3 linked regions of the Arabidopsis thaliana genome follow. The protein of the gene in region 2 purifies or fractionates together with the protein of the main gene of each other region. This does not show direct contact. Each region holds a gene or a part of one and is shown on either strand. Other genes may lie near its edges.

Region 1 (9,693 bases), about 14 Mb from region 2:
AACAAACTTGTTTTTCCTCGGTGGTTTCTCTATCAATTTTGGAATACGTCTTTTGATGATGTGAGCATACTATTTTCACATATATAGATGAACAAAGCTAATTTCGATTTTTATTATCTTAACATACTCTTTTAAATGATTGTGCAGAGCAAGATATGGAGTTCAACTCGAGAAAGGGCCATTTGAAAGGCGGACAGCAGACTTTTTGTGGATGATGATCTTTGGATCCTTCACTCTATTGGTATGTAAAGCCTCCCCTGTATTCTATTCTTACTGATCATTGTTATTGGTTCTTTGAGAACCCCAGTACTAGTATGTGGTATGCCACAAAGTAGATAATCGCTGGTACATAATATCCCAAAGCTGAGAAGATCAGAAGCTCTCAAAGAATTGAATCAGGGTTGCATTTTATTAAAGCGAGACAAAATTTTGGAAGGTATTCATACTAGTAAATCCGTGTGTTAAAACAGTTACCTTGTTCAAATTTCAGGTATTATCAGTCATACCATTTTTCTGGACACCGTTTCTTGGTGTTTCACTTGTGTTCATGCTTCTTTATCTCTGGAGCCGAGAATTTCCAAATGCCAACATCAGCCTATACGGTCTTGTCACTCTTAAGGTATTGAAAGTGTTTCTTTTGTAATCAAATCCACTCCTTGGTATATATAATGTTAATGGTGAAAGTTGGAATTACTCCACAGGCTTTCTACCTCCCATGGGCAATGCTAGCACTTGATGTTATCTTCGGTTCTCCGATCATGCCAGATCTTCTTGGCATCATAGCTGGACATCTATACTACTTCCTAACAGTCCTTCATCCTCTTGCTACCGGAAAAAACTACCTGAAAACCCCAAAATGGGTGTATCCTTTATTCAAATTCTCGATTATTTCCAGATGATTGTTTCTCTCGCTTCTCAGTTTTTGTTTTGCTGTTGTACCTTGACATTCTCAACAGTAATAAAATCGTAGCAAGATGGCGAATTGGAGCTCCAGTTGCAAGTGTTCGACAAGCAGGTGGTGTAGGAGCAGCAGGACCCGGAGCTGGAGGAGGAGTAGGAGGAGGAGGAGCTTATTCAAGCGCTCGTGCCCCACCCGAGAGTTCAAACACAGCATTCAGAGGTCGATCATATCGTCTCACCGACTGAAATAGAAATCTTCTCGAGTTTCTTTGTTTTCATCATATCAAATCTTTTTCAAACAATGCCACTAACTAATCCCAGGTAGCTTTGTGTTTTCGAACAGTACAGTTTTTGAATATATGACTCTGTAGGAAGAATCTTTGAGGTTTTAATACAATGTTCTTTTCAAAATGTGGTTCATGTTTCTATGTTTTTGTTTTTGTCTAGCAATCATCTCCTTACTAAATTGAATTCGATAAACTATAGCCACTATGAATATAATCAAATGAAATTTGTGACATAAGAATTTGGACGTAACGAGTTTGAATATCTATCTAGATAAGTTATTAAATTCGTGACCAAAGAGTTTGGTCGTAACAAGTTTGAATTTTTTAGGACATAATATTATTATTGGCTAACAAGATTACGACTAACGAGTAAATAATCATTCCTTCGGTCCTTCCTCTAAAATGCCGTTGGTGATCGTTTATAAATAGGGGAAATAGGAAAAGGGAAGAAAGTAGACGTGGCAAATAGCGAAACAATGATTGAGCTATAACAAAGGCGAAACTTGAGCGGCACTAATTGAAAATCACTCCTTGTTTTTTTGAAGAAAAAGTAAGATGTAGGGCTGAGAATTCGTCTATGTGATCCAACGGTTTTAAAATGATCCTTGTTCCTTCCTCTCCTATTTATCTGAAGGACGAAGTCCCCACGCTGCACATAACCGGGGCACTTAACGTATAGATCATAAACAAAGAAGAAGAAAAAAAATAAGAAAAGAAGAAGAAGATGTCGTGGCAAACTTACGTTGATGAGCATTTGATGTGTGATGTTGGCGATGGTCAAGGACACCACCTTACTGCTGCCGCTATCGTTGGTCATGACGGTAGCGTTTGGGCTCAGAGCGCCAACTTCCCTCAGGTATTTGATTTCATTGCGTCTGATCTCAATGTGATTTAGATCCTGATAGTGTTGCTATCCGATATGATATGTGTTTTTACAATGTGATTTAGATCATGCATCATGTTTTGATTAGATTCTATCAATGTTTGTCATGGGATATATATATAGTGTATTTTGTGTGTGTGTGTTTCTTTTTATATGTTTTGCATAGATTTGAAAACAAATGATGCATGTTGTCTCATGGTAATCGACTAATCGTGATTTGGTCTTTCATATAGTTCAAGGGACAGGAGTTCAGTGATATTATGAAAGATTTCGACGAACCGGGTCACTTGGCACCCACGGGATTATTCATGGCAGGAGCAAAGTACATGGTGATCCAAGGTGAGCCCGGGGCTGTAATCCGTGGCAAGAAGGTAACCTAATCAGTAGCTTCATGATCAGATATGCAAATACCATGTTGAAGAGGGTTCTAATTCAATATATGCTTCTTTCAATTAGGGAGCAGGAGGCATAACGATAAAGAAAACAGGACAGTCATGTGTGTTTGGGATCTATGAAGAGCCAGTGACACCAGGACAGTGCAACATGGTCGTCGAGAGGTTGGGTGATTACCTCCTCGAACAGGGTCTCTAGAATCTTCTTACAATGTTCCACCACCTACATTTTTTTATAAGGCCATTGTTTCTCCTATTTTTTTCCTTTGGGTGATTTGCATCTCTTTCTCTAATTGATATTATAAGTTTTGGGCTAATGGACCTTCCTGGTTTCTCCCCATAGCAAACTTTTAAGAAAGCTGAAGCCTAAAAGGCTTTTACTCTCTTTGCCTTGGTTTCTTATTTATATGCATGTTTTAGTTGTTTTCTCTTTGCTTTTTTGTCAATTGCATTCTGTCTACTACACTAAATATTAACGTATTGATTGAGAAAATTGCATTATCATAATCTATAGAAAATTGTATGTAGTGTAGTAGAGACATTAATCTCACAATACTAAAAACACTTTCAAAATTTACACGAGCATTTAACACATACATCAACACTCATTATTTACAACAGAAGAAAAAACTGATACGCAACGCAATCTTTCCTAGTGATTTCATTCGTAAGAAAGAAAAAATGAACATGAGAAAGAAAAATGGCAACAGGCAGAATTCATTCATCAACTTTAATCTTTAATAGGAAAGTAATAATAGTACAATTATGTCGGAAAATCATTCCCATCCCATCTGTCTTTATTATGTGCTAATCTAACAGCTCATCGAGAAATCGAATCTCAGTCTTTTTTCCCTATTATTACATTATCACTTAGATATAAGGAAATTTTTGTTATCTCACAATATTCACTTTGAATCAATACGATGCACATATAACAAATTAACAATAGCAAGTGATTGTTTCTCTTCAATAACTCAAAAACATTTTTTTTTTTTTTGGAATAGAAAAAGGTTTATTAACCATCTTTCTAAATTTTGGGTAATTAAGAAACATTTATTGACAATGACATTAGGAAAAGAGAACATTAATTGTAAAGGGTGGACCTAAATAATTGGAATATTTTGGTGTATGGCACACAATGCAAGAGCATATCCACCCTGTAAACAAATTATGGCCATACTTCGATCTCTTTTCTTTGATTTTGGAAATTAAATTCTCTAGTATTGTTTTTTTTAGAAAAGAAAAAAAAACTTTTGTATTGTTTATTTATGTAAACTTCATTTGTTCCAATAAAATCTAAAACGTTTTCACATTTGGTTTGACAATTTTATTTACACAAATTTTCAATATACTTTTAGCGTTAGATCAAATTATACCATGCAAGAATTATATGCATTTTCTATATGATCTTGTTTAAAAATAAAAACTGTAGAAATAATGTAAAACCCGAGAAATGAAATTGTTAATAGATTAAAAAAATCATTTCTTTTAACCGGATGCAAATTTTAATCATTTTAAAAATATTTTCTTTTGATTATCATTTTAAAATTATTTATCGACTTTCACACAAAACATTTTGAATTTCATTTGTATCTACTTTTTTTTTTTTTTTGGTATTTCTTTTAGCTGTCTTTATCAAATTCAGTAAATAAATAAAATATGTATTTTAATGGAATTTTTTGCAGTAGAAATTAAAAAAGAGTTTTTTTTTATTGGAAGGCTAAATCGTGTTATTAATAATTTAAGCTCAAAGGTTGTCCAAGTCTACAAACCAAAAGCACGCTACAGAAGAAGAGGAAGAAGAAGAAGAAGCAGAGACAACAAGAAGAAGAAGAAACAGTCTCATCTCGCCGGAGAAGAAGAAAGATGTCGTGGCAATCATACGTCGATGACCATCTCATGTGCGAGGTCGAAGGCAACCACCTCACACACGCCGCCATCTTCGGCCAAGACGGCAGTGTCTGGGCTCAGAGCTCAGCTTTCCCTCAGGTTTTTCTTCCTTCTTCTTCGCGTTTCTTCCGATCCTCTGTCTCAAATAAGTTCATCGATCTGATTCAATCGTCTGATTTAGGTTTATTCCTTGTGATCCGATCTGAGGAAACTTGGATCTGGTTTTGATTTGCTAGCTTCTGACTTGTTCTCTCTGACAATCTGATTTTCTCAGTGATTGATTGGAGTTTGATTCTGAGATTTTCATGGTTTCAGTAGTCAAATCTTGTCTATAGGTGTTTTGCTTGGCACAGAATCTTATCTCCTTTCAATTCATCAAATGATAAAACTTTTCACCAAATTCTTCAAAATTTGGTATTTTACTTGAATTTGAGATCTTAGGGTCATTGCATATGAATTGTCACCTCTGCTCAGTATTGTATAAACCATGTAAAGGATCTGTTGTATTGGTAGTAGTATCATTGCTCAGTCGGTTGAAGCTAATTGCCTACTTTGTTGTTCTTGTTCATGTATTTAGTTGAAGCCTGCAGAGATAGCAGGAATCAACAAAGACTTTGAAGAAGCCGGACATCTTGCCCCAACCGGGCTATTCCTTGGCGGTGAGAAGTACATGGTTGTCCAAGGTGAGGCTGGAGCCGTCATCCGAGGGAAAAAGGTAACATTTTTCATTCGAGAAGACTCTTTTTTTGTGGTTTTGATTGAGATAATGAATCAAAGGATCAGTCTTTTAGATCAGCAAGTTAAAGTCCATGCTTACTTCTTGCAGGGACCTGGTGGAGTCACTATCAAGAAGACTACTCAAGCTCTAGTCTTTGGTATCTATGATGAACCGATGACCGGAGGGCAATGCAACTTGGTCGTGGAGAGGCTCGGCGATTACCTTATCGAGTCTGGTCTCTAAGTTCACTCAAAGTGCTTCAAACAAATTTCATTTTTCGGGTTCTTTCTTCACTAGAGAAGCACCCTTCTGCCATGTATTGTGATTTGATTGTTGTTGTGCATCAAACAAAGTTATTATACTCTTAAAAAGAACAAAGAAACAATCATATTTGTTATGGTTTTGATCCTCTCCTATGATGGCTCTTATGTTTTTCTCTTGTACTGTATTTCGTAATGTATAATTACGCTTTGGAATAAAAATTTGAGTTTGTGATCATTTGTTCTCGATCAGCTCATAAAAATTTTCTAGGTTCAGTCACAAATACATCACCAAGCTTGACATTTCGGTTACGTGGTGAAAGAAATTACCAAGTTCAACAGTTGGGCTAAATTCTAGTTTAAGTTCGCTCACTACTCAAAACTTCATACAAAAGAAGGCGACAGTGCATTCATGTACACACTTGTCACCAAATACTCGAACAAACTACAAAACACGGCAACAAAACAGAGACTGCAACCACCATTTGTCTGAATGCTTCATTGGTTGACGAAGGCGAAGCCAAGGGGGAATCAATGGCAGTTATGTTTCCAGTGATATTACCCGCCATTGTTCTGTTGAATCTGCAAAAGTAACAACAACAACATCAGCAAGTAAGATTCGTTTTTCCAGTTCGATAGATTCAAGATTGAGTAATCAGAGAGAGAAGTCACCCGTCGGTAGCCGGAGCAATCATGTACAAACAGTTACCATAACCTGCAATTTCGAGAGCTCAAATGAGACTACTATGGCTTCACATTACTCTTAATGGATGTGTTTTGGAAAGTGTATGTATACAAATACTTACTTGGATCCTTGTCAACTTCAACGCTGGCTCCATTAAAGCTGCAATCTATGCTGCTTGCTCCGCTCTGTTGGTAATAAGTGTTGAATGCATAAGATGCGTGTGAGAGAACAGTATCTGGTTCAAAGCAAGGTTGGTCTGGTTGAACAGCTGAACAATCAACATTTCCAGGACCACAAGCCCAGTCCAATGCAGTCTGCAGTTCCGTTACCGAAGCTTGTGAAGAAGCAATACACCATTTCTTGGTTCCTCCTCCTCCTCCTCCTCCGATGGTTACTGTCGAGTTACCGTTGATAATTGGACTTGAACTTGGACTTGGACTGGTACCTGTGGTTGAATTTGTTGGAGAAACAGGCGTAGTGTTTTCCCCAGTGAAGTCTAAAGCGTAAACATTAGTTCCGTTCGCGTAGAACATTCCCCAGTTTCTCTCGGATTCTATCCCAGGCTTCCGGTTCTCATTGAACAACGAGAATAAGTACACATCTATCTCTTCTCCAGGCTTTGCAGGAGTACCTAACCAATAGAAAACAAATCAGTTCATAAAATGCTTCCATCTATCTTTGTATCTAATGATCATAAAAAGATTACCTGGATCACCAATGACATGGCGGATGAGGTTGGTATTGTAAGCCAGAGCGTTCTCAGGAGTTGCAGCTGTCTCTTTAGGCGAGCCTTTACTCGGCCACCCGGACTCAGTGACCATAACCTTAACGGTCTTAAAGCTCATAGCAGTCAAAGCGAAATAGATAGCGTCAAGCTGAGCATCAAACATGTTGGAGTAAAGCAAACCCGTGGCAGGATCAACAACCTGCGAAGATGACTCGAATAGAGCATACTCCAACGGAACTTTTTCAGTGGAATCTCTGTAAGCATAATACGGATACAGGTCTATCATAAAGGGAGACTCATTCTCAACCAAGAACTCAAGCATTGGTTTCAAGAACGCTGAATGCTTCTTGCTGAAAGAAGCTGACGAAGGCGGGAAGGAGCGTGACAAGATAGCAAGGGAATGTGAGCTCGAGATCTTGATCTTTTTATCCAAACCAGACTTCTTAAGAGCTGTGTGAATGTTTCGCATCGCAGGTAAGACTAGACCAGTGGCATTGTCTGGTGCTTCAGTTACTTCAAGACCAACTGAAATCGAAGTGATTTTGGTAGATGGATAATAAGGAAGGATGTTGTTGCTAAGCCAAGTATCTACATTGGATTGAAACTGAGCAAATGCAAGTAGATCAGCGTTAGGGACACCAATCATAAGCTCGATTCCAGTGTTTGCAAAAGCTTTAAGAACATCAATGTTGGCGTCATAGATTCGAACAAATTTGATGTTGAGATGTTGGATTAGCTCAGAGACTCTGTTAGGACTTGGAAGATTATCAGCATTTCTTCCATAACATATCCCAATCTTGCTAGCCATACCAAAATCTGCAACAAATCCACAAAACAAGTCTCAAAAATGGCTGCTTTTGAATCTCAAATGTCGATTCCAAACACCTAAAAGTAGTTCAAAGCTAACAGATTCGAGATTTTCAGACAAGAACTACTACAGTGAAACAGAGATTAACCCAGGACAAAAAGTAAAGCATCGAACTTTAACATCAAGAAGACAAATTTAAGAGATAGTGAAACATAGAAGAGAGAATCAAAGGTAAATGCAGACCCAAAAGAGGATTTGAGTGTAAAGACATACTCAAAAAGGCAAGAATGGAGACAAAAATCCAGAAGACTAGATTCAGTCTTTGACCCATTTTTCTTTCCTCTGTCTTTCTCAAGCTTTAAACTTCACTCAAGTGTTTATTCTACACCCTTGAACCCAGAAATGAAACGTCTCACTCTCAAGAACACTTAAGTAGGAAGCACCGACTTTTTAAGTGACGCAAGAGAGATTTAGAGATAGAGAGAAGTCACTGGAGGTGAACGTTGTGTGCTTTCTATATCAGAGTTCGGATTCCAGCTGAAAATATAAAATTGAGTTTGTAGAAACGTCTCGATTCCGTGAATTAAGCGAGCATGTTTGCTCTCTCTCTTTGACTGTTGTAGTAGATTTTACTGCTTCGAGAACAAAAAAAAAAAAAAAAAAAAACTTTTTTAGATTTATAATAATAAAAAATAATATTAAAAAGATAAATGGGTTCGAGTGCAAAGAGTACTACAGTACAGACAGACCACAGTGGTCTGCTTTTTTTTTTTTTTTTTTTTTTTAACGGTCCAATCTCCACTCAATGCAATTTTTGTATTTACCAAAGTAATTGCAATTTCTTACATTTGATTTTTTACCATTTGAAAATGTAAATCCAGTATGTTGTTTTGGAATTTTAGAGTGCACAAGCATAAGTTGTTTTTGGGTCTGGCTACTAGTTTTATCAGATTTTAAGCAGTGTCATAAGTAGTTGATGAGAACATGTGGAACATTATAAAGGCTTACTTAAAATCAAGATGATCTATTGCTTGGAACAATGATAATAAGAGTTTGAGCCTAATAAGGGTATAATTCAAACGATGTATCTAATATGGATTTGATCATGGCAATGAAGGTACTGTATACAAAATTTTATTAAAGATGATAATGTCGTACCAAGTTAATTTCTTGATTTGAGTGGGCGTGGGCCAATTGGGTTTCTTCTCCTATTTTTCTTTGGGCATTAACCCATTAACTACAGTGAATCTTTTTTTGAAAAACAACGGTGAATTTCTTCTCGATTCTCTTAACATTTTGACTTCAAAAATTTAGAAAGAATATTTCTATTTTACTTTTTTTTATTCAAAAAGAATATTTCTCCCCAAATCTACACTACACGATCTCAAAATTCTAAGAATATTTCTGCTTAGAATTGCCTGAGCACCAATCTCCCCAATGGTTATGTGGAACCCCAAAGCCAGAGCGGGAACAACAATTTTTTATGCCGAGATTTCCTTAGAAACAAGATGCAATGGAAGTGAGGTTTAGGGTAAGGCTGAGTGGTGGTCTGATGCTATGGTTACACAATACGAGTCATATCAATTCCAGCATTGTATAAGTCTTTCGGTTTGATGACTCTCTCTTATTTAGTCTCTTGGAGATTGAATGTCCCTTTTTTTTTTTTAATATTTTGAAATAGAAATTTTACGAAGATATCATACAAAAATATGATTGAGTTAAATTATCAACAATAGTTAATTAGAACGATAAAACACTAGAAGTAAATTTTGACCATGCTTTTATCTGGAAAGCATTGTTTCAATGAAATTCAAAGGTTTGTGTAGCTTTTTTATCTTTGGTTCAATCTCCACTGGTCACAGTTTTATTGTAAGGTTTTGATATATATAGTCTTGCTTTTGTATTAATCAAATTTAATATTAAAAATAAAGGCAGCTAGAATTGAGCTATTAGTAAACCTCTTGTGATCAAAAGAAAGAAGATTTGAAAGAGAAAACCGTCCGCAAGTTAGATCCACGCGCGACTCTAGCGCGTGGAATATAGCTATTAGTTTGCCTATCTATTGTACATATCTTGAGAAATAAAATTTAGATTATAGTAAGATATCTCTTTTCCAATGGAAACTTGATAAATTTTCCCTTTG
Region 2 (10,590 bases):
GTTTTTAGATCTAAATCAGATCAGTCCACTTGGGTTTGGATTTATGTGTTCAATTTCTCACAGGACAAGCATTGCTATTCGCGGGTACTAGAGCTTCTGGTGAACGTATGGGCTTACCACAGTGCAAGACGCATTGTCTACATAGATCCTGAGACTGGTTTGATGCAAGAGCAACACAAACAGAAGAACCGGCGAGGGAAAATGTGGGTGAAGTGGTTCGATTACACAACTCTGAAAACAATGGACGAAGATCTAGCTGAAGAAGCCGACTCAGACCGTCGTGTGGGTCACTGGCTATGGCCATGGACTGGCGAGATCGTGTGGCGCGGTACATTAGAGAAAGAGAAGCAAAAGAAGAATTTAGAGAAAGAGGAGAAGAAGAAGAAGAGTCGAGATAAGCTGAGTAGAATGAGAAGTAGAAGTGGTCGTCAGAAAGTGATCGGAAAATATGTAAAACCACCGCCTGAGAACGAAACTGTTACCGGAAATTCCACTTTGTTAAATGTAGTAGACGCATAAAAGAAAACAAATTAAAATTGCTTCTTTTTTTGTTAGGTCACTAATTTGTTTCATTCATTGTTTTTGGAAAGATTACTGTATAAAAGGTCTCAAGTCTCATTCATTCACTCTCCCTCTCTCTTCTCACCTCTCTTCGATTTAACCGACGGCTTAAATTCTCCGGCGGTGGAGCTTCACTGTGAACAACAAAGAAAGAGAGAAGATGGAGGAGACGCAAGTTCTTGAGATCAATCTCATCTCTGCGCAAGGACTTAAAGAACCGACGGGAAAGCTCCGGCGATTGCAGACTTACGCATCCGTCTGGGTTGATTCTTCCAGCAAACTCCGGACTCGAATTGATCGGATCGGCTCTGAGAATCCGATCTGGAACGACAAATTCGTTTTCCAGGTATCGCCGGAGTTTCTATCTAGCGAAACTTCTGGTGTTTCAATCGAGATCTACGCCGTTGGTTACTTGCGAGATCATCTGATCGGAACTGTTCGCTTCCTCGTGAGTAACTTCCTCCCAACCGCCGCCGTGAAAGTTCCATCTCTCGTCGCGCTTCAGATCCGTCGTCCTTCTGGAAAGTTTCACGGCGTTCTTAACATCGCGGCTATGGTGATGGATGCTTCTGAACTTCCAGCTGATTTCTTCAAGTCGGTTCAAGAGATCCGTCGGAGTCGGAAAATGAGAAAGTCTAGATCTGCGGTTAGTTCGTCGGAGAACGGTTCCGCTGACGACGGTGAGAGTTCGAAAGAGAATTCGGTTTGCGGATCGGTTAATTTCTCCGACGACGGTACTGACTCGACGGCGTCTTCTCCGATGCCGTCTCCTCTCAGAGACTGGAACGCTGTTCGAAATTTGGCGGGAAAGAATCACGTGCGATCGTCATCGGACGGCGGAGGATTGATGTGCTGTTTCTTGATGAAATCGTCGGGCATGTTACCACCAAGAAGAAAAATGACGGACGGCTGAGATCTGTTGTCTTGAATTTCCAACGGTTCAGATGTTCCTTTGGTTTTCTAAACCATCGATCTTCGTCACGTGCATCTCTGTCAACGGTTCAGGTCTCCTTATCCCTTACGTCGTCGTTTAGGCAGTTTTGGCGGTTATGAGTGTTAGTTAACAAACAGTTTGGAATTTCTTTAGTTCTAGTTGCTCAAAACATTATATTCAATAATTGTTGTTTCGTTTTTGAACAATTAAAAAATCTTTTTGATATGAAATAGTAATAATTCGTAGATCACAGAAAAAAAGTGTAGTAAAAATTATGTAAAAAGTGAAAAAAAAAAAAACGCGGGAAGTCGTTTATGAAGTTTTGAGGAGATAATTGTTAGTTTAACGGCTGGATTAGTTAAAACCACTAATTACGTCCTACCAGAAATAACAAAATCATCATCTTTTATAAAAAAATCAATCACTCTCTCTTGTCTTCTTCATCTTCTCTGTTTGTGCCTTCCTCTTTATCAGAAATTGCAGCTTGTACGAAAACAGGTAAATCTTCATATACGTAGAGCAATCAAATTTTTAGTTTTAAGGTTTTTTATTAAGTTCATAAATTTATGATTTTGCTATGATCTATTTAGGGTTTAAATTATGGCAAAGTTTACGAGATTGATAACAGCCATGGAGCTGAGAGCCACGGTGGAGAATCGAATTCGATACTCTACAAAACACATTAAACACTTGCCACCTGGCTCAATCACTGAGTTTGATTGGAAGGATTACTGTCCCGTTGGTTTCGGGTACGTACGTAATAACATAGTTTCATGTTTTAAGGTAAAAAAAAGAAGAGAATTGGTTTTTGTAATGTTTTTTTTGTTGTTGTTTGTAGACTTATTCAAGAACTTGAGGGTATAGATCATGATGATTACTTGCTATCCATTTGCACTGATGAGACTCTCAAGAAGATTTCTTCTGGGAAAATTGGAAATGTCTTTCATATTTCCAATGATAACCGTTTTCTCATCAAGATTCTTCGAAAATCCGAAATTAAGGTACCCCAAAATCATCTTAACACAATCTACTTTTAATTTTTTCAAGTGTGTATATATGTTCCATATTGAGTCTTTCATTGAAAACAATCTTGTGAAGGTGACACTAGAGATGCTTCCACGTTACTACAGACATATTAATTATCACAGATCATCACTATTCACAAGGATTTTTGGTGCTCATTCTGTGAAGCCTCTTGGAGGTGTTAAGGTGACAAGGATTATATATATATACCACTCCATTATTAGAGTTTGATCAGCCACTAATTAGTTACTTTTTTGGGGATACAGACATATTTTGCTGTGATGTCAAACATGCTACATTCAACGATCTTTGTGAACAAGCTCTATGATCTTAAAGGTTCTCCGAAAGGTCGATCTAACAAGAAAATTGAAGTGAGAAACACCACTGTTTTGAAGGACATCGATTTCGATTTCTGTTTCTACGTTGATCCTTTGGCGAGACAACGCATCATCAAGTACTATCCCACCCCCACCCCTCTTTCTTTCTACCATCTTGATTCTAGTTACTCAACAATTTATTAAACACAAAAGGGGTCATCTCATTACAGGCAAACAAAGCTAGATTGCGAGCTTTTGGAAGAAGAAGGTATAATGGATTATAGCTTATTGGTTGGTTTACAATCTAAAGGCTCATGTCAAGGTAATGTTTCTTCTCTCTTCTTAGGAGTGCAACTATTTGCATATCGACTTTGAACTTTTCTGATCATAATAATAAATCACTCTTAACAGGTTCACTTGATGGATTGAACCCGGTTTACGGTAGCTTCGCACCTCCAAGTAAAAAATCCTTACCAACATTCTTCATTCTTTTGTTTTATGTTCTTATATACCAAGTCTTCAACATAAATGTCTACCGATTAAATTTTTCAGGCTCGTTCAAAAGCAATAGCACAAAGTCGATGAAGACGGCTTCTAGTTCTCCTGATAGATCTTCTGTAGCAATGTATTCATGCTCTCCCGATAGAGGTAACAATGTAACTTTTTAATCTAATTAATCATAGTACTTAACAAAAATTACAATTTTTATAAACTTATTGTCTTACTAACAGATTCAGTCGAAAACGAAATGTCAATGACTATACAATCAGTGACAAGCAATAGCGCAAGCTCAGAAACAAATATATTAGCCACAACACTCAGTGACCTCTTTCACAATAGGTAAAGCATTATCCTACTCCTATATAACAACATTGCTAGAAATTTCACATCAAAAAAAATATATATATATATCTAACTTTTCTTGTTTCAGCTCAAATATCAATTTTGGGATGAAGATTCCAGCGAGGGCACGGCGAGTGACGAGAGAAACCGGAGAAGAAGAATGGTACAATGTTGTTTTGTATATAGGGATAGTAGACACATTTCAAGACTATGGTATGAAGAAACGCATAGAACATTGTTACAAATCCATTCAATATAACTCAAACTCAATCTCAACCGTCCATCCTAAGATCTACTCTTCTAGATTCCAAGACTTTGTCTCCAACATCTTCCTACCTCACGACGATGATCTCTCTTCGAAATATTGAGTTGTTTGTTATTTTTGATTTCCAAGTGGAATTATTAGAGTGTTAAGAGGTACACTTCTTACGACCCAAGTTGGTGTTGGTGTTTGTTGTCCAAAAAATCCTCTCTTTTCTGACTTCATTGTTGATCGATCAACAAAATGTAGAGAAAAACATGAACTATTAATACACATATATCAAAAATATAAAATACAGAAAAAGACAAAACCCAAAATAAAAAAAACCCAACATTGTTCTTGGTTCAACACAAAAGAAAAAACCAATCAAACCAAGTCAACCCTTTAATTAAAACTTTCAGTTGGAACATATATATCTCTGTTTACTTTGTTTTGTTAATCACAAAGCAGCATTTAGAACACTTACAGAGATTAGTCTTGTATGTCTACATTGTTACTCTCTTTAGATCTCTTAGAGATTAGGTTTAGCCAGTTCAACGTTTTTCTCCTTAATCTCTAAATAATTCTTCTGTTACAACATTACAACATATTTAATATCTTATTATCCTTAACCTAACAACTTTTATACTAAACAAAACAAAGCCATTTCTATTTGGGCTTTACTTATCTTATGGCCCAATTGACTTTTCTTCTTTCTTCTTTTTCACGACGCTTCTTCTTCCTCCTCGTACAACGGGCTTCTTCTTCCTCCATTACTTACTCAAGTATCTTTTCTCTTCATCATCTTCTCATCTTTCTCTTCAAGTTTCTCTTGTATGATATTAAGCAATTAATAGATTCCAACATAGTCATGTTTCTGCGTTTGATTATTGTTCTTGGAAGTATAATCTGAATTGGAAATCTCTTTTATTGCAGGTTTAAGATGAAGAAGAAACAACAAAAGCAGGAATTTGTAGCTGAGACATCAGAGATGAACAACAACAACGAGTGTTCTGGACAAGACCAACAAAAACGATATGTGTGGCCATGGGTTGGTCTAGTAGCCAACGTACCAACTGAGGTGGAACCATCTGGTCGGAGAGTAGGCAAAAGCGGTTCAACGTTACGTGATGAGTTCACTCTGAAAGGGTTTAATCCAACAAGAGTCAAACCCATTTGGAATACCAAGGGACATACTGGTTTTGCTTTGGTTGAATTCGCTAAAGACTTTAAAGGATTCGAAAGCGCCATGCAATTCGAAAAGAGTTTTGATTTAGACCGTCATGGGAAGAGAGATTGGAAAAAAGGTAAAACATTGTTTTTAAAAGTCATTTGCTTTTATTGACATTGATAGAGTTCACTTTCTTTGTTTGGAAAAGGTCATCGCTTGAGAGATGATAAGCTTTATGGATGGCTTGCGAGAGAGGATGATTATAATCGAAGTGATACTGTTGGGAAGAATGTCAAGAAGAAGAGGGATTTGAAAAGTATCTCTCAGATTGTAGAGGAAGACCAGAGGAAACTGTATCATCTATTTGAGAATATGTGTCAAACCATTGAGAAGAATAAGCAACGTAAACAACAGCTTGAACAGAAAGTTGATGAGACTTTGGAGAGTTTGGAATTTCATAACCTTATGTTAAACAATAGCTACCAAGAAGGTAAAACAGAAACACTTTAATAAGCTTTCTGTTTGTGTTTTCATGCTGACATGTGTATTCTTTTGGTTTGTTTGTTTGTTATTTTGATGAGAAGAGATTCAGAAGATGGAGAAGAATATGCAAGAGTTTTATCAACAGGTTCTTGGTGGACATGAAAAGTCTTTTGCAGAACTGGAGGCAAAGAGGGAGAAGCTTGACGAGCGTGCAAGATTGATTGAGCAACGGGCTATCAAAAACGAAGAAGAGATGGAAAAGACCAGGCTTGAAAGAGAAATGGTGATTATGCTTTCCTTACAAATTAGGAGAAAAATATCACAAGGCAATAAAATCTTTCTTGTTGTTGTTGTTGTAGATTCAAAAGGCTATGTGTGAGCAGAATGAAGCGAATGAGGAAGCTATGAAACTTGCAGAAAAGCACCAGGCAAGTACTTCTTTAGTGTTTCTTTAGTTATGAACAAGTAATAACTAACAACTTTTGCAGAAAGAGAAGGAGAAGCTTCATAAAAGGATAATGGAAATGGAAGCTAAGCTAAATGAAACGCAAGAGCTTGAGTTGGAGATAGAGAAGCTGAAAGGTACTACAAATGTGATGAAGCATATGGTGGGTTGTGATGGAGATAAAGATATTGTGGAGAAGATAGCCAAAACTCAGATAGAGCTTGACGCTCGAGAAACAGCTCTCCATGAAAAAATGATGACTCTCGCACGAAAAGAACGTGCGACCAACGATGAGTATCAAGACGCTCGTAAAGAGATGATTAAGGTTCGAAAACGTTCTAAATATATCTGTTCCAAACTCTTTGGCTTGTCCTTTTAACTTGTGGAATTACTTTTGATGATGAGCAGGTATGGAAGGCGAATGAAGAGTTGATGAAGCAAGAGAAGATTAGAGTGAAGATAATGGGGGAGTTGAACCCTGCACCCTTCTTGCCTGCAGTGATGAACAAACATAAGGCTATGATGCTGTGTTCAGTGTGGGCAGCAGAGATAGGAGATGTGCAATGGACTCCATTTAGGGTCGATGAGTCTGATGGAACACCAAAGGTTAGGACTTTAACTTAGGAGTCTACACTTTCATAAATCTCAAAAGATGGGTTTGTAGCAAAAATTACATATATCTCAACATTCCAAATGTGAAATGCAGAGAGTGGTGGATGAAAATGATGAGAAGCTTCGTATGCTGAAGAACCAGTACGGTGAAGAAGTTTATAGTGAAGTGGTAAGAGCAAAGCTAGAGATGGAGGAACATAACGCTAGTGGCAGCTATGAGACTGAAGAGCTTTGGAACTATGAGGAGAACCGAAAGGCGACTATCGAGGAAATAACAGATGTGATGTTGAAGATAAGGTCCAAACTTGCTGCTATGAAGAACAAACGAAAGAGGCCTTGAGGAGACAACTATGAAGAGCCTTAGGAAAATGTTGTCCCTTTTTGTTAAGTTTCCAGTTTCAATTAGTTTTTCTTATCTTGTGTTGTTGATTGATAATATATCGTAGAGTCTTAGATCACAAGAAATGGAGCTGAGAAATTGTTTCCGGTTATGTATGTTTGGTTAAATTGGATTATGAATTGCTTATCATTATTATATACTTACGTATACATGTACTTGTCGAACATATATTAGCCATGTACATATAAAGGATTTTGGTTCCACATCTTGTTCTCTGTTAGTTTTGACAACTTGACAATGTCTGATTGTTATCACCTTCAAAGGCTGTTTCAGATCTTTTGATACAACGTTTAAAAAAGTCAGAGACATTGCATCAGTTTTCAGGAAAAACCTACTCAATAAAATCAGATTCTTGAGTTACAAGAAACTACATGAAGCCAAAGCTTTACCATATCCTAAGGTTGCCAACTTTGAGTCTTCTCCCAAGGCTTGAAAACACCATCATGAGAAACATATTTCAAGTAAAAGAAAAAGCCACGCAGCAACTTCAAAGCTCTTGCCTTATCATCAACACCAACCACAAGCTTGTATTCTTTTTCGAAATCAGGGAAACTTTCTAGATAAGATTGTCCCAGTTCGCCAGTCTCATAAACAGATCCTCTTCCCTTTCGTAGTTCTCTGCATCGAGTCATTTTTCTATGGATTGATACGTCACGATGGAGCTGCTTCATCTCTTCTTCATCATATGGTTGTTTCAGAACATCCATTAGCTCCTTTCTAAACCAAGTGATACTACTTTCATTCTTTTTGCTTCCTTCATCAAGATCAACTACTTTCTTGGACGCCACAAACGGTGTACACTCTTCTACATCCAAAAACGGCGAATCACCCATCGCAATTATATAATCAGACCAATCATGATCTGGTTCAACCTTCACTTCGACTAGTGGATCCATTTCAGGTACCATTGTCGATTCTTTTAAAGTATCCATATCATCTTTCTGAAGATTTTCCATTGGCTCAGTTGTCGAATCCCTAAGAGAATCTACAAGCCATGTGAGGTACCTCATGTAATCCTTATCCACAACCGCTTCACTACCCTCATTCTTCTTCCTTCTCCCTACAAAAACTTCTTTGCTCCTTGAACAAGTCTCATCTACATCATTAACCTCTGTAACTCTATTTACTCGCTCCACATGATCAATCTCCGCAACAACCCTCTTGGCTAGTTGAATCTCTTCTGCAGTTCTAACCAATGGAACTGTGTTGTCTCGTTGACTGTCTTCTTGACTTCCAACCAATGGAACATCATCTCTTCTTAAAGTCTCAGTCTCAGCCTTTGAATCAGAAAGTTTCCTAACTCGTTGTTGAATGTCTTCTTGTTGGGTTTCGAGTAAAGGAACGTCTCTTGAAGCCTTTGCAGCATCTAACATCGCAATCCTCCGCTTTCTTCGTTCAGCAACTCTGTTGTCTCGTTGAATGATGTCTTGGATTTTATCTCTTTCAGCCTTTAACCCAACAGTTTTCCTCTGGCCCTGTTGATGAACTCTGTTCTTCATTGGATTCTCATTCTCAAGCTTTGATATCTTCGAATCACAAGAAAAGATCTTTAATTTACGAATGTCAGATTCTCCATTGTCAACTTCAAGACGAGGGCTTACACTTCCTCTTCGAAGATGATCCAAGAAGACGTTGTAGTCCTTATCAATCATAAGATCATCATCATCATCTTCGTCAAGACAGATAATTGGAATATATCCATCATCAATCACAATGGCTTTCTTCTTCATCGCAATCAACACTCTATTAAATCGAATAAAACAGAACAAAAATTAGGAAATAATTATGCAAGGAAAAACCCTAATCCTTGTCGTTAAAACCATAATGCAGAAAGAAACCATGAAAGCTATATAAAGACAAAACAAAGAAAGCCAAAACAGATGAAGAAACGTAGAATTAAGCATACCGTTTAGAGCGACTCTGCTTGTGAACACAAAACTCAGAAAATGAAGGAGATTTTGGAGAGAAAAGGAGAATGTTGTTCTCAAGAAAGAGAGAGAAATAAGAAACGGAAAAGGAAAGAAGGTAATAATATATATTAGGGTTTAAATGCAGATATCAAGTTTTGCTACACCATTAAGGAAATTTTGGAGATAAAAGGAGAATATGAAGAGACGTGAGATAAGACTTGAGAGTGGCTACGACGGCTATATAAATTATTATTCTCAGACACACTTGAGCATGCATTGGGTTACATTACCTTTTGATGGATTTGGTATTCGCAAAACAAACTTTTATTTCACCTTGTTTTTGCCAGTATAGAGATATTCTTGCAATTAAATACCTATCAACTACCATGACTCACTAAGTACAGAGTAATATTATACTCTCTAGAACAAAGAAACTAAGAACAGAGAAAGAGATAGAGAGAATGTGAGAATTACAACATGATGTTATTCGTTATCTTCTTTAATGAAAATTTCGATTACTTAATTACAAATTACAGAGGAAAATGAAACACAACACACAGCTTCATAGTTCATACCTACGCAGAGCTGAGTTGTATTAATGTTATAGTAATTTTTAATGATATGTCAACACGAGAAAAATCTAGTGTTTTTATTGTATTGATGATATTGATTTCCAACTAAAAACATAATCATAGTTCGAAACCAAATTACACAAGGACAAAAAAATAGCTTTACTCATAGACTGACGTTGAAGTATGGGTGGTGTTTTTGAAAAGTTTTTGGTAGTTTGGTGAGAAATTTGAAGACTATCTATTTGTTTATATAGAGATGAAAATTTAGAATCATTTTCCTTCTATGATTAATAATTTATTGTAAAATTCCCATATAGCTATTGTATTTTTATATAATAAGATTGTATAATTTCCTAAATCTATTTAAAATTTTAAAATAAAAAATAATCATTTTTCTTTTAGAATTAGTAGCTTCAAATTAGAATTAGTATCTAATTTCTTTTTTGTTTAATTTTGTCAGCAACTTTATATTATTTCTAATTTTATTTAAAAATATACATATAGTTTTCTTATAATTATCTTATTTACATATGAAAAATGTTTAGTTACTATATAATTATTATTTTTACTTTATAATTTCTTATAACTATTTTATTAGAGTTTTAAGATTAATAAAAGAATTTTTTTGTCTAAGATGTATCAAATTCTGAGATCAATAAATTTGACACGTATCGTGAACCTATGAATTAATAACTTTGAAAATCATATTTTATATAATAAGATCTTAAAATGGCAATAAAAAGATAGATTATAAAATTTGGAAATCATCTAAATATTACACATCTCATTTAGTTTATATAACTTTACTTTGAAATATATATATATATATATATATATTTATTTATTTATTTCGAATACGACAAACACAAAATTTGTATTATTAAAATCTCAAAAAAAACTAAACCCCATAGATTCATATAATAATCTTTGAAAGGAAATTTTTTAAAAAATGGAAATTATCTAAATATACCGCATATCAATTCATTTATATAACTTTTTGTCAATACATTTATTTCGAATACGACAAACACAAAAATTTGCATTTTTAAAGTCTCAAATACCCAAAAAAACCCATATC
Region 3 (4,963 bases), on a different chromosome or scaffold from region 2:
TGTGCCATACCGCATAGAAGAGTATCTGATATAGTTTGTTAATTTTGTTCTTCTTCAAATTCTGTAATTTTTGTTGTCTGTTTTGTTTAAATTGTAGCTAATCAGGCGATTGCCAGTGGAAGGAGACAATCCTTTTGGAAAAGAGGCTTCCGTTACTGCTACTAAAATATTCCAATTTCTAAATCAGGTAAGTTTCATAACTTTTCACTGCCTTGTGTGTTCAGATCTGTTTTTAGGTAGAACAATGTGTCTCAGAGCTACATTACTTTTTTAAAACTTAGCCAAAGTTAGTTCATACAAGCTGATTGACAACGTTGAAAATTCTCAATCAACAGTTTGTAGATATTAGCTAAAGAGACTGCTGTTATTGCTCTGTCTCCACTACAGTCATCAGTTCTTGTATTTATTGTTGGATTTTTTTGCTTGTTGCAGATTATCGAAGCGCTACCTAATGTTCCATCACCTGACCTGGCATTCCGGTTGTACTTGCAATGTGCTGAGGTAAAACTACGTACCTGTTTATTTAGTATGCACTTGCTCGGTAAAATGCTCACAGATCTTTCCTATTTCATCAGGCTGCGGATAAGTGTGATGAAGAACCAATTGCATACGAATTTTTCACCCAGGCATACATCTTATACGAAGAAGAAATTTCGGTTAGTTATGTTTTCGCGGACGTTCATATGTCTCGTGTCTAAACCAAAGCAAGTAGGTGAGTTTAACTCTCTCTCGTGCGTCAAAAACTTGCCTTTTGAACAGGACTCAAAGGCCCAGGTGACTGCGTTACAACTTATAATTGGAACTCTGCAGAGGATGCAAGTATTTGGTGTTGAGAATAGAGATACATTAACGCACAAGGCTACGGGGGTATTTCATCATGATATGATAATTAGTCTCTTACCATATTCAATTGTCTCTGCTTAAAGGCTGACAAGGGAAAACTTATACTCTTGCAGTATGCAGCGAAACTTCTAAAGAAACCTGATCAATGTCGAGCTGTTTATGCCTGTTCTCATTTGTTCTGGCTGGAAGATCGTGAGACCATACAAGATGGAGAAAGGTAATACTTTCTTCTGTGCGATAGAACACAGTGTGTTTAAAATAGCTCATTAGGTTTCTTACTTGAAATCAGGGTTCTACTTTGTCTGAAACGAGCGCTTAAAATTGCAAATTCGGCTCAACAAGTGGCCAACACAGCTCGGGGTAGTACAGGGTCTGTTACCCTCTTCATCGAGATACTAAACAAGTAAGCGCTTTTTATTGTTTGTTTTACTTCTCATTTTCCCAGATCAGCAAGCAGCATTATGTAATGTGAATTATGGCAGGTACCTCTATTTCTATGAGAAAGGGGTTCCACAGATAACAGTTGAATCAGTAGAAAGCCTGATAAAACTGATCAAGAACGAAGAATCGATGCCCTCTGATCCATCTGCTGAATCATTCTTTGCAACTACGCTTGAGTTCATGGAGTTCCAAAAGCAGAAAGAGGGTGCCATTGGTGAGAGATACCAGGCGATCAAAGTATAGAATCTCATGTTGGTCAAAAGAAGTCGGTTTGTTTTTATTAAAAAAAAAAAAAGCTTTGCTTTGAGTCGTTTGAGAATCGGAAAGGGACTGATATTGTGTTGCTTGCTGCTCGAAATGTAAACCCGGGTTTAGGTCTAGTTTTATTCCTCGGATTTTCAAGGCGGTTCATGGTCTGTAACTTGTGGAGTTTGATGTGTGTTTATACGAATCTTTAGTATTCTGAGTTTAACATTGGATATTACATATTAGATAATGTCCTTCATGAAAAAAGTATTCATTTTATGTATTCTGTTGAATGATTATTGACGCATAAAAACATTTTCAATACCATTGTATAACGCATAATTAACAACCTTTGTGAGGCTTCAGCCTTCAAATATATCAATAGAAATTCAGTTTACGAAATCAACTTAAAAAATTTTGAAAAAATAATAAAATTTAAAAAAAAAACAAATTGTAGGTTAAATTTTTTTAAAAACAAAATAAAACAGAAAAGAAACGAGAAAAAAAAAAAGCAAAACAATCGGAGAAAGTTGATGGAGGAGATTGTTCGTTTTGTGAACGCTTCAATGGCATAAATTTCCGGCCATCACATTTCTTCTACTTTCTCTTTCTCTCTCCCTTGTTGTTGTTCTCTAGAATTCGATTCATCGTTGTTAACGTCGTCCATTCTTCTTCTTTGATCCCTTCTTTGATCTCTCACATTTCCGATTCCAATTTAGGGTTTCCTCTCTTTTCACATTTCTAGGGTTTTTCTTGTTCCCTTTGTACCGGAGATGGTGAATTGAAAGGAAAAATAAAACGCTTTTGAGAGCTTATATTTGAGGTTGTTTCCTCAGGTTTTGTAGATCTGAGGTTGCTATTTTTGAATTAGAGATTCTTTTTTTTTTTTTTCAAAATTTTGTTTGTTGTGATCATACATAGACGTACGTAGCTCCATTTCTGGTGGAGAAGGAAGAAGAAGAGAAATGAGCGCTTCGAGGTTCATAAAGTGTGTCACCGTTGGCGACGGAGCTGTTGGTAAAACCTGTTTGCTGATTTCTTACACCAGCAACACTTTTCCTACGGTATAATGTTCCTTCCTTAGATTGAATCATATTCTGTGTTCTGTGAATTACAAGCTTCAAAATTGTCTTCTCTATTGATTGATGAGACCAAAGCTTGTGGCAATACATGAATCGATCCATAATTTTTTTTTGGTGTTATGAGGATTTGTGGAGCTTTGTATCTCATTGAATCTTGTAAATTCATGTGGAACAGGATTATGTACCGACTGTTTTCGATAACTTTAGCGCAAATGTGGTTGTTAATGGAGCCACTGTGAATCTTGGGCTATGGGATACCGCAGGTACTGACTAAATAATAGGGATCTTACTTAGTAGTAGCGGCAGCTATGGGATTTGGGGTCTGAAACTTTTGTTTTGTTGTTGTAAACAGGGCAGGAGGATTATAACAGATTAAGACCTTTGAGTTACCGCGGTGCTGATGTTTTCATCTTAGCATTCTCTCTTATCAGTAAGGCTAGTTATGAGAATGTCTCCAAGAAGGTACGTTTTTGAAATGAATGTTTGCTACAAGTTTTGATATGAATACTCTGAAGAAAGTCTTTTGGTTGTGATTTTTGCTGCTTTATCTTCGTTTTGCAGTGGATCCCAGAGCTGAAGCATTATGCCCCTGGTGTCCCTATAGTTCTTGTTGGAACCAAACTAGGTAAGCTCGTTTTTTGACATATATGTCTGCTAATTTGATTTGTTCACGTCCAAGATATATCCATGTAGTACCTTTTAGCTCTTTTGTGTCTAGCGGAAACTAGGCCTGGATTTTGGAGTATCACAAATCCTGAAATAATCTAGGTTTACAAGCTTGTCTGTGATGTTTCGTCATCATTTTTAATGAATTCCGCGATACGTTATGGATCATATCTCACATTTTCTCTTGATAGTTAACCTCCATTGTAAGAGACAACTACATGCATGTAAGCAGCTGTTGGATGTCTAGCAATTATAAACCTAATAGAAAAGGCTTATACAAGATGTTGTGCCAAAATTGGTGTAACGGATTCTGTTTCTTACTTTTAATACCAATGCTTAACTTTCGGCCTGCTGTCTGATCCGTCTAGACCTACTTTTAATAGTTATGAGTTTCGTCTGGTGCTTATGTTTTGTGTTTCATCATATATGCCAGATCTTCGGGATGACAAACAGTTCTTCATTGACCACCCTGGCGCTGTACCAATTACTACTGCTCAGGTAAACAGAATTTTTCTTTGAAATGTGTCAATTTACTTAGCCTGTTACTTAAACGAACCCTTTTAACCGTTCACCACTTTGGGCATCAAAGGGAGAGGAACTGAAGAAACTAATTGGAGCTCCCGCATACATCGAGTGCAGTTCAAAAACACAAGAGGCAAGACACAAAAACTTTCCCTTTTGTTTTGAGTACTACTCTGCTTCTTTACTTAGCTTTTCTCAAAGCTTTTTTTTAATGAAATTGCAGAACGTGAAAGGAGTATTTGATGCAGCGATCCGAGTGGTTCTTCAACCTCCAAAGCAGAAGAAAAAGAAAAGCAAAGCACAAAAAGCCTGCTCCATTTTGTAATTTCTCTACGCTTCTCTTACGTATCTCTCTCTGTCTCTCTGTCTCTTCCACTCTTCTAGTGAAGGCTTAAGAAGAAAACACATTGGGCTTAAAAATTGTTCCAGAGTTCGTTGTGATAAGCTCTCTTAATCCTTAAAAAAACGATTATTTCTGTTTATTGATGAATAGTTTCCAGCTTTAGCTGAGACCTAATATTGCACTTACCACTTCTCTATTCTTCCTTCGATTTCAATGACTAGTTGAAGAAAACAGAGATGATGGATTTTCCACTTCAACTTTACTTAAGTCTACTAATTTGAACATATTACTTGTTCTCATTCTTCCAATTCTAATTTAACAAATGGTGCAATTTGGTATATTTTATTGTCTTGAATACTTCATCCAAAAAATTGTGATGCATATAAGTCTTTAAAAGTTCTGAATGTTTCAGTATTGTGATACAAAAATCAGAATTTTGCATTCAACTATGCCAGTCATTACCTTCTTTAATATATTTTCTTATAAATAAACCTCTCAAACTCCACTTCTCATCCATCACACAATCCTCAAAACAAGAGAAACAAACCCAAAAACAGAGCAATCTCAAAAAGATGAAGCTGCTCTCTTCAGTCTTCACCATGCAACTAGCCAGCGCCTCCGTTCTTACCTCGTGTAGAACAACATATAAGTTCCAAAAAAAAATAGTCATGTTGCTAAACGATGCCATTTCACAACATGCACTTCATTTCGCTTTTGAAGTTTAACTGACTTGTGAAGAATTTGAACAAATGGCCCATTAGCTCAGTTGGTTAGAGCGTCGTGCTAATAACGCGAAGGTCGCAGGTTCGAAACCTGCATG

The links.
Region 1: the proteins of PIPK10 (region 2) and PFN2 purify together in Arabidopsis thaliana (affinity purification with mass spectrometry, with the first as the bait; one study listed by BioGRID). This does not show direct contact.
Region 3: the proteins of PIPK10 (region 2) and ARAC1 purify together in Arabidopsis thaliana (affinity purification with mass spectrometry, with the first as the bait; one study listed by BioGRID). This does not show direct contact.

The regions. Positions count from the first base shown.
Region 1 is NC_003075.7:14,445,807-14,455,499, forward strand, and holds PFN2 (profilin 2), read left to right. Parts: upstream 1-4,081; 5' UTR 4,082-4,328; coding exon 4,329-4,451; intron 4,452-4,929; coding exon 4,930-5,067; intron 5,068-5,178; coding exon 5,179-5,313; 3' UTR 5,314-5,588; downstream 5,589-9,693. Other genes in the region: DER1 (DERLIN-1), read left to right, coding at 1-60, 148-241, 491-619, 702-862, 957-1,146; PRF4 (profilin 4), read left to right, coding at 1,912-2,043, 2,304-2,441, 2,527-2,661; AT4G29360 (O-Glycosyl hydrolases family 17 protein), read right to left, coding at 5,756-5,912, 6,003-6,045, 6,137-6,646, 6,722-7,558, 7,794-7,881. UniProt on the Arabidopsis thaliana protein: Binds to actin monomers and regulates the organization of the actin cytoskeleton. At high concentrations, profilin prevents the polymerization of actin, whereas it enhances it at low concentrations.
Region 2 is NC_003075.7:497,667-508,256, reverse strand, and holds PIPK10 (phosphatidylinositol phosphate kinase 10), read left to right. Parts: upstream 1-1,853; 5' UTR 1,854-2,095; coding exon 2,096-2,244; intron 2,245-2,333; coding exon 2,334-2,496; intron 2,497-2,593; coding exon 2,594-2,704; intron 2,705-2,784; coding exon 2,785-2,972; intron 2,973-3,065; coding exon 3,066-3,157; intron 3,158-3,246; coding exon 3,247-3,294; intron 3,295-3,387; coding exon 3,388-3,483; intron 3,484-3,566; coding exon 3,567-3,675; intron 3,676-3,766; coding exon 3,767-4,046; 3' UTR 4,047-4,122; downstream 4,123-10,590. Other genes in the region: AT4G01210 (glycosyl transferase family 1 protein), read left to right, coding at 64-519; AT4G01200 (Calcium-dependent lipid-binding (CaLB domain) family protein), read left to right, coding at 722-1,474; AT4G01180 (XH/XS domain-containing protein), read left to right, coding at 4,863-5,226, 5,299-5,580, 5,675-5,856, 5,933-6,001, 6,062-6,343, 6,427-6,624, 6,683-6,970; AT4G01170 (uncharacterized protein), read right to left, coding at 7,426-8,760.
Region 3 is NC_003071.7:7,737,818-7,742,780, forward strand, and holds ARAC1 (RAC-like 1), read left to right. Parts: upstream 1-1,969; 5' UTR 1,970-2,495; coding exon 2,496-2,594; intron 2,595-2,787; coding exon 2,788-2,875; intron 2,876-2,964; coding exon 2,965-3,074; intron 3,075-3,173; coding exon 3,174-3,237; intron 3,238-3,711; coding exon 3,712-3,776; intron 3,777-3,867; coding exon 3,868-3,933; intron 3,934-4,023; coding exon 4,024-4,125; 3' UTR 4,126-4,463; downstream 4,464-4,963. Other genes in the region: VPS35A (vacuolar protein sorting-associated 35A-like protein), read left to right, coding at 98-187, 433-501, 576-656, 760-867, 957-1,060, 1,133-1,246, 1,326-1,527. UniProt on the Arabidopsis thaliana protein: Inactive GDP-bound Rho GTPases reside in the cytosol, are found in a complex with Rho GDP-dissociation inhibitors (Rho GDIs), and are released from the GDI protein in order to translocate to membranes upon activation.